2 linked regions of the Rhinolophus ferrumequinum genome follow. The protein of the gene in region 1 binds, or shares a complex with, the protein of each later gene. Links are inferred from orthologs where the notes say so. Each region holds a gene or a part of one and is shown on either strand. Other genes may lie near its edges.

The links.
Region 2: the proteins of ZMYND8 (region 1) and DBN1 are in contact, whole or in part, in a crystal structure (PDB 5Y1Z), measured with the Homo sapiens proteins. The link is inferred for Rhinolophus ferrumequinum from reciprocal best matches to the Homo sapiens genes ZMYND8 and DBN1. Residues at the interface, in NP_001350670.1 of Homo sapiens: Gln167, Pro168, Gly169, Thr170, Gln236, Ile237, Val240, Lys243, Ile244, His247, Trp269, Leu285, Gly287, Phe288, Phe307, Gly309, Gln310, His311, Asp312, Ala314, Thr335, Lys336, Ser337, Ile338; in NP_004386.3 of Homo sapiens: Met1, Ala2, Phe6, Ser7, Arg10, Leu11, Leu14, Tyr17, Glu18, Asp92, Ala93, Cys96, Ala97, Ala99, Ser100, Lys104, Glu107, Phe108, Gln110.

The regions. Positions count from the first base shown.
Region 1 is NC_046306.1:11,178,527-11,187,561, forward strand, and holds the start of ZMYND8 (protein kinase C-binding protein 1), read left to right. Parts: upstream 1-5,000; 5' UTR 5,001-5,049; coding exon of another isoform or gene 5,050-5,089; coding exon 5,090-5,108; intron 5,109-5,281; coding exon 5,282-5,417; intron 5,418-5,749; coding exon 5,750-5,818; intron 5,819-9,035. UniProt on the Homo sapiens protein: Chromatin reader that recognizes dual histone modifications such as histone H3.1 dimethylated at 'Lys-36' and histone H4 acetylated at 'Lys-16' (H3.1K36me2-H4K16ac) and histone H3 methylated at 'Lys-4' and histone H4 acetylated at 'Lys-14' (H3K4me1-H3K14ac).
Region 2 is NC_046307.1:5,150,642-5,159,092, forward strand, and holds the start of DBN1 (drebrin), read left to right. Parts: upstream 1-4,849; 5' UTR 4,850-5,013; coding exon 5,014-5,099; intron 5,100-5,679; exon of another isoform or gene 5,680-5,736; coding exon of another isoform or gene 5,737-5,744; intron 5,745-8,451. UniProt on the Homo sapiens protein: Actin cytoskeleton-organizing protein that plays a role in the formation of cell projections. Required for actin polymerization at immunological synapses (IS) and for the recruitment of the chemokine receptor CXCR4 to IS.

The sequences.
Region 1 (9,035 bases):
TTGTCAGGTGCTTAGCAGCATCCCTGGCCTCTACTCTCTGGATGCCAGTAGCAATACCTTCCTCCAGATGTGACAACCAGAAATGTCTCCAGATATGGCCACTGGTCTAGTGGGAGAGAGAAACAAACAGAGCAAATGAATATGTGTTCTTCTTTCCATAATGGTAATTGCTGGGGAGTAAAAAGAGCAAGGAAGCAGAGGTTTGAATCATCTTCCTTTTGATTTTCATTTTCTTCCTGCACCTCTTACATCTCTCCCCACCCACACTGGGCCCATCTGCCTGATGGTCACGTACCATCCCCCACTGCCCTCCATTTGCCTAATCCTGCCAGTCCCTCCTAGAAAGAAGTGGAAAAAAAGAAAGAAAGAAAGAAAGAAAGACCTTCCCTAGGACACATCTCCAAGGGAGGGAGTCCTCATGCCTGTCTGTGGCCGGAACATGACTGCATGCTCTGAAGGTGAGCCCTTCTGTCACCATGCCTGAAGTTGGCCTCCGTTCCAATTGGCCAAAAAGGAACAAAACAAGATATTTAAAACACGTCCCTGCCTCAATCCTGTCCGTTTCACATAACGGACCAAGAGGCCTGCTGCTCGCTTCAGGCAGATAACTCCAAGTGTGCTTATTTTCATAGGCAGCCGAACAGGCTATCTCGGGACGCAGCTTGCCGAGGCCGCGCCCGCTGCTGCTCTCCTGGCTGCAGGCCAACCGGAGTGGAGAGCCATTTCGTCGAGGCCAGGCCTCGGCTGGTTAAGGTGCCTGGGGAAGGGAGCTGGGGCCAGCCCTCCCTCTCCTTGGAGACCAGCTTTATCACCGTGACTTTCTGCCGGGCTTCTTTCAGCCTCATTCTGTCCCCCAATTTTCTCCGTCCCCTGGGAATATTAAGAGAGACATGTTTTAATCTATTTTTATTATTAGCTCATTGCTTATTAATATCACCAGGGAACCTGCTTGTTTAGGCCTGTGCTGGCTTTTCTATCCAGAGAGGCACAGTGGTTGGATTTTTTCTTCTTCTTCCTGTTCATCTGAGCCAAGGTTTCCCTACCTTGGGACAAAGGGACGGTTTGGGTCAAATAATTCTCTGTTGCGGCGGTCGTGTGTGTCTCTGTGTGTGTGGTGTCTGTGCTGTGCACTGTAGGGTAGGATGTTTAGCAACCTCCCAGGTCTCCACCCACTAGATGCCAGTAGCACCTTTTCCCCAAATTGTGACAACCCAAAGTTCTCCATACACTGCCACAGAGGCCCTGGGGGGCAAAACCACCTGGTTTTGAACCTGGTTAAGAACCACAGATTTCAAGGAATATAAAAAAACCTGATTTTAGAGAAAGTTTCCCCCCGACCTCTTGCTGGAGGTTTGCAGGGAGAGAGGAGCTTTCTCTGGGCCTTGGAATGAGTCTAATTTAAAATTCTCCCAGCTCCATCATTCAGGACTTAAAGCTCTTTCTCAAAGGAATTGACCACCTAAAAGGAAAACACAGATCACGCTTCTCTTTTGTTTCCTCCTTTAGAGGCAAGTGAAGGTACAGGGTTTAAAGATGTGGAGTCATAACTGGGTTGGAAGTCTGGTGTCTGGCACTTGCCAGCTGTGTGACCTTGGACAGCTCACTTCCCCTCTCTGGGCTCAGTTCCAGGTCTCTAACAATGCTCCCTATCTCCTGATGAAGTCAGCTTGTGCAAAGCGCTGATGTAGCATAGTGCCTGTTCCACGGTGAGCATGCAGTAGTGGGACTATTCTGTGCAGGGGGAAGTTTTGAGAAGGGCCACTGACTTGAGCTCTAGATTGAGGTCAGCAACGTTGGGCTTCTTTATTCCCTCTTATCAGCCACATTCCATCAAGCCCAGGAGTGGCCCGTAGTGGGCCTGCTCTCGGCTTCCTTTTCGATCCATGTTCCTCCCAGGATTCCATCTGCCACCATACCTTTGTCTCTGTCCCCAGCCGAATTTCTGTTTTCCAGATAACCTCAGACCTACCCGAATGCCAACAGCATTCCTCCAACAGAGCAGAGCTGCCAGAATAAGCTTGCAGCTTCCTGCTCTTTGCCCCAGAAAACATTTCAAGTGATCAAGTGATCAGAGAGAGGGCGGGAGGGAGGGGGAGAATGCTGCAGCTGCTTATGCAACCCGTTTTAATCCCGGGTTAAAATCCACCACGCGACCCGTGGCGTATTTCATTTCCTCATTGGGTCGTGAAGTTAGCTGCACGCAAATTCCGTCACAGACTCAGTCATGTCTGTTCCCGCAAAAGCAGCACCTGGGGAGACAAACAATATTCCTTATGGGATGGTGGTGGAGGGAGACCTGTCTGATTAGGTCTGGCCTTGCCTCTTGTCCCCTACTTGGTCTCCCTCTACAGGCTTCCACCCACAGGAAGAGGCGGTCCCTCCCTTCTGGTGAGGCCTGTTGTCCTGAGTGCTGGTGCTGTGGCCGTGGAGGTGGAGGTGTCTCTTCATCTTGGCCTCTTCAGCCTAAAATACAGCAGCAACAAGGTCCCCTCCCTTTTCATAAAGCGCCGGCCCAGCCCCAGCAGTACAGTGTGTGTGGATTCCTGGCTTGTTCCTGTTTGATGGAAGATTCCCAGCCAGGAAGAATTTATGTACATGCAGAGGGGGTGGGCATCTGTTGTCCATGTGGGGTGGGGGGAGAGCAGGCCATCAGCTCCATGTTTTCTTTGTGGGAACGAATGAATGGTGTGGGACGAGAAAGCCCACGGGTCCTAATTTTAGGAGGAAGGGAAGACTTTATTGGGCCATAGTTTTTTACCTCCTGGCATATGGCTGCCTCACCTCTGGAAGCTTTCTCCAACCTCTAAAGAATGGTGTTTATTTAGCTTCTGTTGTTCCAGCTTGCTGTTTTAAAAAAAATCTTAATTAAGCAGCTTGTCTTTAAAAAAAAAAAAAAGGAAAAAGAAAAATCAACTATGGACATTCGGAGAGCCTTTTGGATTTGCTTTTTCTTTCTCAGGGTACAGACCAACTACAAAGGCAGCTTTCGGGAGGAAACAGGCAAAGACCTCCTCATACTATTGAAATGGGTGAAATTATAAGCCGTTCTGAAAAACTAGTTAATATTTTACTGGGGAGCAGTGCCAGAGATAGGGGTGTGGGGGGCTGCCAAGTGTAGAGCTGTGTGTGAAATAGCTGTTCCATCTGCCTTAGGGGACGAAAAGAAGCAGTACTCTGTGGAAATAAATTTAAGCAAGAATCCTTTTAAAGCTCATGAGATTTGTCTGCCCACCGAGGGCCCAGCTCCCCAAGTACATACATACAGGCATGATTGTGACAGGAAGGGCTAAGCAGTGGGTGTAGGCCTGACTAATAATGGGGGTTCTTGTTTCCTCGTTGAGTTTGACATCTTTCTTTCTCCCTCTGGATTTAAATGGCTTCTCAGACTGAGAGGCACTGCCTGTGCCCTGGATTCAGAAGGTACACGCCTCCTTGGGAAGCAAAGGCGAGAGACAGCGGCTCACTCTCTCTCTTTCTGCATCTGCCGGGAGAGCTGCAGCTGGTATTTTTCCACAGGCCTTTTCTGCGATCTCAGGGCCTAGTCTTTCCCAGCCAGGCCCAGAGTCCGAGAGAGGGTTAATGGGCAGGAAGCTGAAGGCATCGCAGACTAATACGGAAGTCAGATTTTTGTTTAACTGACAGGTTTAGCAGGCCTCAGCAGTGGGGGAGGGGGCCGGGAGGGGAAGGGAAGTTTGTAGATCTAGGCATGTGGCCTGCTAGGAGTGCACTTGGCTTTTCTTAGGGTAAGGACTGAGAGGGCCCCCCCACCCCCTGGCATCCTGGCAGGGAGGCAGGAACCCATTTTGGTTTTCCTTTGAGTACTGGCTGAAGGGGGTGGGTGAGAGGATGTATTCTCTGCGGGGAAAATGGCTCTCTGGCCTGCTTTTCCAGGAGGCATTTTGACAATGACTATGCAAACTTGACCACTCTGTTCCCCTCCTCCCCTAAGCAGCCTGAATCCTCTGTCCTCGGAGAAGCCACAGCTGCTCTTTAGCGATTTTGGGGGGCTTGCCTGTCCTGTTTGCCCCCAACTCCTGAAAGGCCTGCCCCAAGCTCCTTTCTCCTGCCCCCTTGGCTCTTTTCCTGACGCTCCCCCTCCTCAGTTTCTCCCCCCACCCTCCGGGGGGGACCATCGACTGGATTGTTCTAGAAAAGGGCCAGCCTTCCTCCTAGCCGAGAGCCGCTTCTGTGGGGGCAGGTGAGGGTGAGCCCTTTCAGCTCACCCCAAAAACTCTCTTCCCAGTGGCATCCAGGCCTCAGGCTTTGCTGGGGCAGGTCAGGCTGGCTGCACTGGTTTGCCCGTACAGGGAAATCTAGCCAGGGTGTGGGAGAAGTGCGTGTGGGGGCCCCTTTCCCAAGTTTTTCTTGCTGCAAAAGGCCTAGCTTAGCCTGTCTTTTTCTATGCACAGGATGGCTCTTGCTCACCAGAGCCTCACAAAGATAATCGCTCAGGAAGTGTTTCAGCCAATCCCGGGCCGCCTTACACTCCGATTTGCCGGGCCAGCCAATCGGGGATGAGCTCTTATTAGGCGGCCAGATCATCAAGCCGAAGTGCCAAACCCTTTTTCTGTGAGAACTAGGAGCCTGTCCTCCATGTTTTATAAGTATTGACATTACACAGTGTTAACAATGCATCCACAGAGGTAAGCTCGACTTTTTAACCATCTTTTCTCCCCCTCCCTCTGAGACATCCGAATTGTGGGCGAGCAGTGTGATTTCTCTGTGGCTGGCTGTGCCACACTCACCCCCACAGCACTTAGGTTAACTTGGAACTGTTTAGAGAGAATTTTTTTGCTTTCTTGGGTCACATGGCTAAGTAGCCATTAGCCATAGCCTGATTTTGCAAACTGGCAAGGGCCTGGCACACCTTTTCTTCCACCAGGACATGGTGTTTCTGGAATAGTTTGAAGCTAGATCCTGGTATGCCAAAAAAGAAGGTTTTTTTTTTTTTTTTTCCTCCTCTCTCTTTCTCTCTCTCTCTCTCTCTGAGCAGTTTCCCCCCCTGCACTATTGTCTTCTCTTGTGTCACATGCCTGCTGGGGGAAGAAAATGGAAGGTGAGCAAGCAGGCTCCTCTCTAAGGAGAGCTCATGGCAGACAGCAAAGCAGGCAAGTTTTCCTCTCCAAAGAGGTTCTGGGAAGGCTGGACTAAGTTCTGACCAGAGAGGACGTGTGTTTTAAACAGAACCAAGCCCTCAGCAGAGCAGTGCTAAGGAGAGCTCCTAGCTCTTGGGGCCTAGGTGGGTGGTGGTGTCTCTACATGGTCTTTTTTCTCCCAACAGGGTTTCTTCACTTGAAACTACATTGTTCAGCCTTTTTTCCTGACTTCTGTTGCTACAGAATGTTCTTCTGCAAGCCAGCCTACAGCCAGCAAATGTTTCTGAAAGTGTTTTCTAGGCTTTGGAGGAAGTTTTTGGAGTAGGGATGGGGATTGAGGGGGGCGTGGGGGGTGGGATGTTGGACAACATCCTGCAATAAATCTGTGAGGACTCTTTGAATCCCTTAGCTTTCTATTCTTGCATGATTTTCAATGAACTAATGTATCTTTTATCCTTGTTTTCTTTTTCCTTTCCCCCCCCTTTTTTTTTTACATTGTATCATCTTCTGCCCTCCTGTGTGATAGAGTGCAGAGGAAATAAAATCATGTGTGTGGCTCATGACAGCATTCCCTATTCAGTTGTTGTGTTGTTGTTGTGTGTGTTTTTAATAATCCCATGTAACTGTTTAAAAAAATTTCCTTTTTGATCAAGTCCCAAATCTGCCAGCCTGTTCTCTCTTCTTAACTGTGGAAAAATGAGACGGTTGCTTGAACATGTTGGGTAAGTAAAGCGATCCATTTCCTCTGTGACCATGTATAAAGAGTTTGGTGAACATTTGGGGCCTGTTTGTAACAGGGGGTCTTGGCTACAGCCGTGGAGGGCTTTTCCTTAGCAGGAACCAAATAAGGGCTTTTTAATAGTGTCTTGATTTTAGGTGACTGTGTGAATCAACTGTTTTTCCTGAGAACCTGCAGCTAGGATTGAAGATTACACTTCCTGTTAACCCTCAGACAGGGGAGAAATGTGCAGTTCGTTGTGACTTGACTGGAGACCTTTAATTGGGTTTGTTTGGATATTAGAACTCTGGGTAGGTGATCTGCTTGTGAAATGTAAGAAAGTGCTTGGTCTTAGAATCACAGAACCTTAAGCCGTGGTGGGGCAGGAGCTGGTGGTTGTGGTGGTGGTGGTGGTGGTGGTGGTGGTGGTGGTGGTGTGTGGGGGTGGTGGTGTCAGTACTTAGGTTTTGGGATACTGACATGGATTGCAAAATCCCACCCACCAGCAGCAAACTTGGTTTGATTTAGGACTCACTGAACAACAGATTTCGGCCTTTTTCCAAGGCAGACCCACACACGTCTGTATGCACGCTTGCCTTTACTAATGATTTATTTCTCACTTTTTACATTTCCCCTGATCTCTTAATGCTGCAGTTAGGACTTAAGAATGAAAAAAAGTGGACTCTTGTTTAGTGTTAGCTTCAGAATTTCCCTAGAAGTTCACTGCATCAATTTCAGTCTGGAGAACAATCCAGCATGACTGTAAATGCTGGAAATAGATGCAGTTGCTGTGTTATGCCAACTTTATGGAGTCAATAATCTTTTTTTTCTTCTTTTAGTGACTATCTACCCACCTTTTAGCACCAATGGGAAAAAGGCTCATTTAATAATGATAAAGGTACCAAATTCGAGAAAAGTCTGTGTAGGGCCAGTGTCTTAGAGTAAAAGGGCAGGCAGTTAATGATGTTTTATATACTTAAAACACTTGTGCCCCACACAAGTAAGTTCAGACACTTAGCTATTTTCTTTGTTCCTATCTCCTGGCTGTAAATGGAAATTACATATTGAGGTTCTTGTGGCCTCCTCAGAAGCAATATCTAATCACAAGACTCCTGGTTTGGTGCCTTCAATGTTTGCATAATGGTGTGTTTGTTGGGCTGGAAGGAAACTGAAGGGCAAGGCATTTGTCCTCTAAAAGCTTGCATTAAAATGGCTCCCACAGGTTTGCAAAGCCAAGATCTGTTTTCAGATGTGCAGCTCCAGCAGGTTCCTAGCCCTGGACCAACCTAGCCCTTTTCCTTGGGGACTGTGGCCACCACTAAGCATGAGTCTGTAAAAAGTTAATTGCTTTCAAAGTCGCATTATTTTCCAGTTTTCACTAAGGGGGAAAAATAAATGTCTGCATTGCAGCAGGACTAGGTAGGGACAGCAGTGCTGGCTCACAGAGCAAGCCCAATGGGCTTCCTCTCTTCCAGATTTTGAACCAATAGACTTGGAGGAGAAAGGTTACAGATTGACAATTGCAGTGGCCGGACTCAGACCGGGCCTTCTGGAAATTTCTGCCATCTTTGTTCCTTTTAGGAAAAGCAGATCCTCCAAGCTGAAGAGTTTCCTGCATTCCATTCCTAGGGCATCGCCCCTCCCCCACTCTCTTTTTTTTTTTCTATCAAGGTAGAAGGTTCTCTCTCTGCCACGTTTGCAAATTGCAGAGGGAGGAACGGGACACTGGGTTGTTTCCCTTTTTCCTTCTATCTCCTCAGTCCCCAAAGAGGATGCACAGCTGCAAGGAACAAACACAGACACACTGGAGCTTTTGATCTGCCCCCCCCCCTTTTTTTTTCCTTCAAGACCCTCCAGGATGGATTCACTTTCTGCTTTGGGAAATTAAATGGCATTCACGAGGGGGAAGGGTTAGTGACTGCTTTTATTAGCTCCAGAAAATGGTCAGTGTTCCCGACTATAACTAGGAATTAATTATACGTAATCACTCCGTAAACTTTCTACAGAGTTTTTCTACTTGCTGTGCGTGCACATGGGTAGCCTGTTGGAGCCCCTTCCAGTTACTTTTTATAATTAACGACCCACAGATTTGAGTCAGAAAGAAGGAAACAATGGGGCATCTTAGATTACAAATTAGGGATGAAAACAATAGCTTCTTTTTCTTTTCTTTCTTTCCTGTAACCCCTTTTCTTTTCAACAAAACATTCCCCACTTTTTCCCCCCAGGAGAACAGTGGGGAAACGGCTTCAGGTCTTAAATAGGAGAGGGGGAAAATGAGTCACTCTTTAAAAAGCAGGGTGACAGTAACCCAGAAAACCCTGAAGGCAGAGGTAGGTTTTTTGAGTCCAACCACTTCAAATGTGTGATCTCTTTGTTTCCTTTGCCTTCTTTTCCCTTCTCTCTCCTGTGGCAGAGGCAACAAACATTTGTCAGCTGATAAGCCCTAGATCTGGCTTTGCCTCTGGTTGACCCTGAAAAGAAAGACACATGCAGAAGTGCTTTCCCGACCCCACGGCAGAGACTTAGTAAGGGAATATGTTTAGAAGCCCTTGTGTTGCACTTTAATGCAAAAACCAGGATTCACCCTTGGCTTCAGGTTGCCTAGGGTATGGCCGCCCTCCCCCCGCCCCACCCCACTCTCCTTCCAGATAAACAAGCTGGCGGGAGCCATTTCAGCCTTGCAGCTAGCTGTGCTGCCAGGCTGTCCCTCCTCATCAAGATTACCGTACCTATCAGCCGGCGAGGAGCCAGCCGCCCGTCCTGGCCCTGGCACAGCCTTGGGCACTGTGCCCTCCTGTCTCCCATGGAACTAAAAAGCTGTCACCTTGAAACTCCCCCCTCGCAGCACCACAGAGTGCTGAGGCCAATGCACAGACCTGTAACAGTAAATTACATTATCCACTATGAGGCAATTAGTTCGGCCTCTGAAAGCGGGTTTTGCAAAACCCATTGTTAATTTTCAGGGCTCTGTTGGGGGTGGACAAAAATCTAATTTGTGAGTATCCTATGCATTGGCTGAGGGAATGTTTTACTGTTGTCTCTGGAGACTCAGATTGTCTTTCCTTGATGCTGTCTTAGGACTGGCTGGGTGTTTGGTGGCCGTTTTCAGGCTTATAAACAGCCTTTTGATTTTACCTTGGCCTCAGACCTGGGGTGCAGCCTTTTAGCTTGGCTTTTCAGATGGCTGCTGCCCTTGAAGCGCTTTAATTTCACCTGGCTCC
Region 2 (8,451 bases), on another chromosome or scaffold:
CCTCTGCTGGGACCCACAGAGCAATCACTTAAAGAGTATATGTCATTTAATCATGGAAACACACTTAACAGAGATGTCATTAAGTGCATATTTCAGATGAGGGACCTGGGGCTCAAAGAGAAAGTGACCTGGCCAGAGCCACCCAGCCAGAGTGGCCTGGGTCTGCTGCTTCAAGGCTGCAGTGCTCCCCACTGCGCCTCCTGGCTGCTCCCCCATCACAGAGCTGCAGGGATCACAGTGTTCCAAAGCTGGGGTGCGAGGCTGTGTGGGTGGAAGCCGTGGCGACTGGGAAATGTCCTTGTGTCAGGTAGGGGAAGCCATTAGCGCCCTTGGAGAGTGCAGCCTCCCCAGCTAAAGGGGCAGAGCCCATGGCAGGGGGCTGAGTGGGAACTGGAGAGGCAGTGTGTAAGAGGGGCTTTTTCCAGCTCAGAGCAGCTAGAGCTCATTCAAAGTCAGCAGGGAGAGAGGCGGTAGAGGGAGAGGAACTGAGTACAGAGAACAGGCAGGAACTGATGATTCTGTTGCTGCCTCCTCAGTGCCAGGCCCTGCGTGGCCTTGGAACACATACAAGGTACACACCACCCTGTGGACCCTTCCATGCAGCCCTGCTATGGGAAGGCAGCTGAGGCCAGCCCCATACAAGCAGGGAGCAGCCGGGAGGACTGAGTGGGCCTGAGTCCAAAGCCAACCAAGAGTGGAAGTAGGGCTCCTCCCCAGCTGGGGCATAACGGGGAGGTAGGGTTCCAGGGGCCCTGGTAGGACAAGAAGAAGCTCGCTGGGAGCCTGGGGAGGACTCAGGAAGTCAGGCCACCCCGGGGAGATCATGCAGTGGGGTAGCTACAGAGTGGTCAGGGAGCGCCCCGGGATGGGCCTGGGTCTCCTGCTCAGCCTGGGGGACTAGGTCAGCTCAGCTTTCACCCATTTCCCTTGCCACTGATAAAAATGACCGCTACTAGGTAGATGAAGAAGGACTCTTTCAGTGCAAGTGTAACTAGTTTAGCAGAAACAGGGAGAATTTATCTCATTTAACTGAGGTTAACGGCTTCAGATCTGGTGGGACCAGGTACTCTGGGTGTTACCAGCAGTCTGTCTGCTGTCTCCATCTCTGGGCACTGCTTTCCTAAGTGCTGGCTGTATTCTCAGGCGGCTCTCCCCATTATTGGGGAGACACCCCTCAACCAGCTCCAGACCCACATCCTGCCAGCTCAGCAGCCCCAGTAGAGGCTTTCTCAATGATTCCAGCAAAAGTCCCAGGGCTGCTGCCCATTGGGCTGACTTGGGTCATGTGTCCATCCCTGAAGCAGTCACTGGGTCTGACCGGTGGGCCTGGAACACAGGCTCCCCTCTGGAGCCTGTAGTGGAAAAATCAGCCGGAAGACAAGGGTAGGGCTTATGGAGGAGAGACCCTCGAGCTAGATCCAACAAGATCCGGGCCAGAACAGACTGCTTCCCATAAATCCCCTCAGAGACTGTCCCATGGTCCCCTCCCATGTGTCCCACCTCCTGCTCCTTCCTGGAACAGGTCGCTGCACACCCCGCCCCCCAAGCATGGGAAGCATTTTCCCATTATCTGGGCAGGTCACACCCCGGTGCCCCATCCATCCAGTCCTGTCCTATATAACCCTTTGTGCCTGCCACGTGGCCTGGAGGACATCCCTGTCACCTCAGTGCCATCGCCCAAGATGTGCCTCTTATGTAAGCTCTCTTAATAAACTCTTGATATAATGCTGGAGTTGTCAGCCTTTTTCTTCAGTCTCTCAGGCCTGGGAAGTTTTACATAACAGGGATGCCTGACCATGGACAGCCACTGCACTGGGCACTTTTCCTCCATGCCCAGGACTCCTGCACCCGGACTTTTCCTTAGACCCTACAGCTGTAACCTGAGGAACTACCTCTGACTAAATTGCAGGCCAGGCTAGCCCCTACATGTGGAAATGGGGGTGCTAGAAGGGGAAGTGGGAGAATAGGTGGTAGACTGACGTGATGTGGGACAGTCCTGGGTTCCCATCCAGACTTGCTACTCACCAACTGTGTGCCTCGGGGCCTCACTGCTCCTCTCTGAGCCTCAGCTTTCCTATCTGTAAAATAGTGATAACAGCCCACATCTCAATGGCATCTGCTATGTGCAGTTGCCATTTTAAGCACTTTCTAGATACTGTTTTAACATCCTCAAACAGACCCTATGAGGTAGGTACCATCATCATCATCCCCATTTTGTAGCTGGAAACGAGTAAGACAAAGAAGTTCAAGGAGTGAGTCTAAGGTCACACGGTTAGCAAGGTCCGTGGATTAGCAAGATCTGGGCAGCAATTGGCTTGTGAGGAGCAGAGCTTCTGTGGGAAAGTGGCCGGCCCAGTGCCAGGGCCCACACCTGCAAGGATGAGGGGGCATTTTTGAAGGTGTGCTTGGTATGAACTTGCAGAGTCAGGGTGAGGGCAGAGAAGGCTCCACCAGCCTGTGCTAAAAAATAGTCCTGAGGCCAATGTGTCATCCTCGAAGCCTTCCCTGAGATGTGTGGGGAGCACAGAATAGGAAGGTGGGTGTGGGGGGGAGGAGGGCCAGGCTGTGAAAAGGAAGGGAGGGGTTCTTATTTTCCAAGCTTCCATCCAGTCACTCACAACATGTTATCAAAGAGGAAACTCAGAGAAGGAAAGCATTTTAGCCCAGGTCACACAGCAAGTGACCAGCTTCAGAACTGAATTCTCCCTCTTTGTTGACTTTTGCACTCTGGGGACCCAGAAACCACTGGACCAGCCTCCCAGGGTGTTGTGGAGGCTCACTCTCTGGGGGTGGGGAGACCACTGTGTTAGTGGCTTAAAAGGTGTTCAGTGCTGAGAGTAATAGACACCAAGTCCTGGTGGGAGGACCGCCAAGTAAGCACCCAGCACCCACCCACCAAAGTGGGGTGTGTGGCTTTCAGGGCTAAAAGGAGGCAGGGTCACAGAGGAGGTAGTGATCAATGGTCACCCCACTCCCACAGGTCGAAGAAACAGGACTAAGACAGGACCATCGAATTTGGCAATTTAGGGGTCACTAGTGACCTTGGCCAGAGCAATTCCAAGAACAACGGAGACAGGGGGAGACAGATTACAGATATACAAATTACAGGATGAAGATGTGGAGGGAGAAGGGTGAGAAGACCAGAAGGGCTGGGCTCCAGGGCAGCCAAGCAGGCGACCCTCTTGGTTCCACTTACAAGGCCTCTCTGTACCATCTTTGTAATTTTTCTATGAATCTAAAACTATTCTAAAATGAGCTTATATAAAAATATAGATGGTAAAGAGGGCGTGGCTGGAAAGAGGCAGGAATTTGAGGGAGAGCATGCATGTGGGCTTCTGTGTTGTGGATGTGAAATCGAGCAAGCAGGAGGCTGGGAAGGGGGCCAGGGAGGGGAAGGTGGGAGGAATTCTGAGCTGGGACAAGTCAAAGGAAGCAGGAAGGGGCTGAGACCCAAGATCTCCCCTTCAGCCCTGTCATGGGATTTCCTCCCACCCCAGAATCCTAGTGACCTTGCCTGGGCCTTGCTCCAAGTGGGGGCTGTGGAGAAACTGCTAGGGCCAGGGGTCCATGGGCATAGTGGGCACAGGCAGGGGTCTGTGAACGCTTTTGAGTTTTAAGAGGGTTTTCTTACTCCAAAGCGCTGGGAACCACTGCTGGAGATCAACGCACACGCTACTCTCCTCCTCCTGTGGCCAACTCAGAACTCAGAGGCCCAGCTGAACCGTCTCCCAGATTAGACTAGGTAGTTAGCTCAGGTTCCATCACCTCCCTGGGAAGATGGGGGTGGCTTTGTAGGTGGTGCGAAAGGCTTCTGAGAGCTGGGGAGAGTTTCAGGGTCCCACCTCAGCAAGGAGCAGACGTGTTTCTGGAGGTGCTGGCAGTGGTGCCCACTCTCCTGCAGGGGACTCCTCTGAGGCCCTAGTGCTTTCTGTGCTCAGAGCTTTGGGGGAAAAAAGTGCCAGGAGGCTGGTCCTGGAGGAACCCTTCCCTGAGTCTACAGTTAGATGCTACTACTTGAAGGAAGTCCACTTGGGATCCTCTACGATGCCTGAGGCTTGCCAGTCAAGGCAAAGGAGTTCCTGGGCTGACCCCATCTGAGAGGGGCCAGGAGGCTGCTGGTAAAGAAGGGGGGCTCAGCCTAGGGGTGGTGGAAGAGGCTGGCGATACTGTGGTAATGAGCTTGGTTGGGGCTGGGGATGGTCAAGGAGGCAGGGATGTAGAGGTGCGGTTGGTTACTCGGATCAGAATGAGGACAGGATAGGCTGGACTGAGGAGGGTGCATCTAAGGATGGGGTGTGGGGAATGGGGGTGCATGCTAAGCATAGAGTTGGGAATGGGGCTGGAACTGGGGCTGGGAAAGAGATGGCAGTGGACAGTGGTAGGATGGACTGAATGGGCCTTTCCGAGGTGAGGCTGGGCGGCAGATGGGCCAGGGGTGGCTGATCTGTGAATTGGGTTGGGACTGGGGGTTTGGATGGATCAGGGATGGGGGTGAGACCAGGATGGAGATAATTAAGCACCAAATGGGACTGGGCCGGATTGGAATGAAGTGGATTTGGGATTGGGACTGGGAGCTGATTAGGAGAAGAATCAGCTGGGGACGGGGATGGTTGGAGCTGGGGAAGAGGGTGAGTACCTTAGGCTGGGAACACGGTGAGGGTTTGGGACGCGGGTGCGATGGGCCTCGGGAGAGGAGGGGCAGGTTGGCCCGGGTGCGGACGCAGAGGCGGTGGGTGAGGGGCGGGGGGCGCCTGGGGCAGGCCGGGAAGGGGGGGCTGGCCTCCCCCTGGGCTGGGCCCGGGCGGCGCTAGGACCGAGCGCGGAGGGACGAGCCGGGCGGAGCCAGCGCCCCCCGCCCCCCGCCGGCCGGCTCCCCTCCCCCGGCCGCTGGCTCGCTCGGCTCTCAACGCTGCAGAGGCTCCGAGGCGGCGGCGGCGGTGACTCCCTCGTTCCCTCCCTCTTCTGTCCGTCCGTCCGTGCGTCTGTCCGTTCGGCCTGGGTCCGGCCCGCAGTATGGCCGGCGTCAGCTTCAGCGGCCACCGCCTGGAGCTGCTGGCGGCGTACGAGGAGGTGATCCGGGAGGAGAGCGCGGCGGACTGGTGAGCCCCCGCCCCCGCCCCCCGGCCCCTTTGTCCCCGCGCCGCCGCCGCCGCCGCCGCGCCTTTGTTTCCACCCGGCCCGCCGCACGGCTGCAGGGAAGGGAGGGGGCGACCCCGAAATGGTGGAGCGGCCTGGGAGGGCCGGGAGGGGCTGCCTTTGTGCGCGCCGGGGAGGGGCCGGGCGGGGTGCTGCGCCCCGAGGCCGGCCCAGGCGCGCGGTATGAGCGGTGGCCAGACGCGGGTCGGAGAGACGCAGGATCTGGACGTGTGGCCCGGGGCCACATGGTCCTGCAGGAGCCCATCCCCCGTCCTCTCCCCCGCCGGGGCTCAGGGGACAGGTGTGCACCGGGCGGCCAAGGGCACCTTCGCTACCTTCTAGCGGGCGCGGACCGGGCGGTGACGGGGCGGGGACCCAGCTAGCGGAGCCAGCTCAGCCTGCCTGGCCCAGCCCCGCCGGCCGGCCACAGCACAAAGGAACGCTAGGGCGGGGGAGGAGCAGAGCGGGCTGGGGGCCGAGGCGCCCCGCCCACCGGGGGGGCCTCTCGGAGTTGGGGTGTGATGGAAAGACGTTCATTGCACATGGCAACCGTGCAGTGACTCCTGTTCCTCTCAGTGGTCGTGGAGGAGACGGAGATAAATGGGATTGTAGGTACTGGGCAGCTGGGCTGGGAGATGCCAAGGGGGCCAGCTGGGGACCCTGGGAGGAAGCCCTCAGGCGCACACGCGTGGAGGGAGCCCCTAGAGAGGGATGAGGGCTGAGTAGATCCACTGAGCCCCCAGCCTCATCGCACAGTGGCAAGGGGCTCTCGGCTTCCTGGTGGGGGAGGAGCTGGGCTGCCCTCTTCCCCCTCCCCAGCTGTTGTCTCCCCAAGCTCTGGGAGGGGTGGACCACCTGCTCTGAGGCTGGTGTCCCCAGGGTGGTAGGAAAGCCAAGGGGTTCCACACTGCCCCATTCAGGAATCATCCCCCCAAAAGACTCTTCTCTTGGGGCAGGTACCCATTCTGTTCCCAGGCCTCTTCTCCCCTTGGCAGGCAGGAAACTGAGGTACAGTGTGAGGGCAGGCCTGAGGGACCTCACTTGAGCTGGCCTTACCCTCACCCTGGGAAGGCATTTGGGAAGGGACACTGACCTGGGGGCTGGAGGAGGGGACAAGTGGTGAGGTGTCCATGCCACGGTACTGCAGCACTGGCGGGCAGCCAGTCCTGGAGGGATGGACGCGGGAGACAAGCTCATGTCCTGCAGGTCAGTCACAGGAGAGGCCAGCACAGGCGAAGTGGGCAGGCGGCCCACCCATTGTCCCAGCCCTGCCCCTGGGGGCTGAGATCATGGGAGAAGTCCAGGGCAAGTGGCTGCCTTGGCCTAGTGGAGGAGCTGGCCTCGAGACCCGATGGGCCCTGCCTGAAGAGGGGCAGGGTCCATCATAGAATGCCCCCCTCACCCTCAGTCTGGGGATACTGTCTATCACCACCCCATCGGGCCTAACCCCCCAAAAGCAGAGCTCTGGAGGCCCAGTGCGGGTCCACACAACCACTGCTGGCCCACGTCCTCCTCAGCAGAGGGCTGGGCTCCCACCACGCAGCAGCATCCATGTGGCCAGAGTGAGTTATTCATCACTGGCGTGCGTCACCCCATCTGGGTGTGTGTGAGGCACACACAGATTCACACAGCCTCGCACATGCACACACGTATTCACTCTCAGTGGCCTAGGTAGCATTTTGTAAAAAGGGTGTGAGGATCATGTCCTGCTGCCAGCTCCGAGCCAGGGGTGCAGTGGGGTCTCAGGACTCAGGCACAGACCCGACACTAAGTCTAGAGGAGGATGTCTTGGGTAAAATTGCTGCCTGAGCAAAGGAGGCTTATCATTGCCCTCCCTTATCTTGCCTCTGAGTGGGGCTGGGGAGCAGGAGGGGAGTGGTCACTCCTGTGGCAGGGCATCTGAAATGGACCACTGTCCAGGTGGGAGCAGGGGACCCCAGGAAGTTAGGTTGTGTAGTGGGAAGAGCCAGTGTTGCCCTGGATGTGACAGACTCACTATGTGACCACACACAAGTGCCTGCTCTTCTCGTGTTCTTGAAAACAAGGAGACTCAACCATATCGGGACCTCCAGGGCCCATCTGGCTCTGACATCCTGAGAGTGTGATTGTCCTGAGGGGTCCACCTGCCCTCAGCCTCCCACGTTAGCTGACTCCAGCATCTCCTTGGAGCTCCAGCTCCCAACTCACCTCAGTCCAGTTTCTCTGGCCTAGATGGTTTTTCAGTGTTAGTGCCAGTATCTCAGGTACCTACTGGTGCCACTGTGGGCTGGACCCTGGACCCAGAGAGTGAAGTATGTTGATTGACTGAGTCAGACATCCTGCCTCCGCGAAGCTTAGGTCTGAGGCAGTGTCTGTCTCCAGGGCTTAGAGCTGGTGAGACATGTAGATTCCTGGTTCCCCCCACTCTGACTTCCTGCGGTTTCACCAGCTCCCACTGTCCAGGCCCAGGCCAAAGCCGGCTCTGCGGTATTTGAGAAGCACTTGTTCAGTGAGATCTGCGGCAGGCTTAGATGCCTTTTTCCATCCCTGCTGGGGTGTGATAATGCCTGAGGAGGTGCACCTCAGGACAGGGCACAGCTTCCTAGGGAGCTGGCATTGGGGCCCCGAGGGATTTCTGCCAGGGGTGGGCATGTGGTAGAGAAACTGGTCTGGTCTTTTTGTGACAGGAATCACATATGCAAAGGCTCGAGGGTGGGAAATACCCAGAACTGTGTTTGGCATCCGCGAGCCGTCTAGTGTGACCCCAGTGTGTGGTGTGGACACAGAAGGTCTAGCTGGAAAGGCAGGCAGGTGGGGCTCAGGGTTGAAGGCCTGCTGAAGGCTTTGAACTTAGCTATGGTTTCTGTCAGGTCAGTGGCTGGAGCTGAAAGGTGGCTGGAAGTGGGCAGGCAAGAGTTGAGGATGGAAGGGGCAGTACATGTGTAGCAAGGGCACTCAGAACTTCTGGGAGGCTAATAGTCACCCCTGGGAGGTGTGTGTGTCTGGGAACCAGGGTCTCAGAGTTCTGCCTCAGTTTCTCATTTTTGGAATGGGAAGGGGCAGACTTTGCTTCTCTGAGGGCCCTTTGTTCCCAGTGACGGGTTAGGGCAGCCGGACAGGTGGTGGGACAGCTGTGCTGGGAAGCAGCTGCCAGCACTGGGGCCCAGGCGACAGTTGGAGCAGGAGCTCTGGGCCTCACAGCCCACCTGTGTCCCTTTCCGGAGGGAGGGGTCCTGGAAAGTGTGTGTGTGTGTGTCCTCCCTCTTCCCTCCCTCCTTCCCTCTCTCCCTCCCTCCTTCATTTCCTCATCATACCTTCACTTTCCTCCTTTCTCTT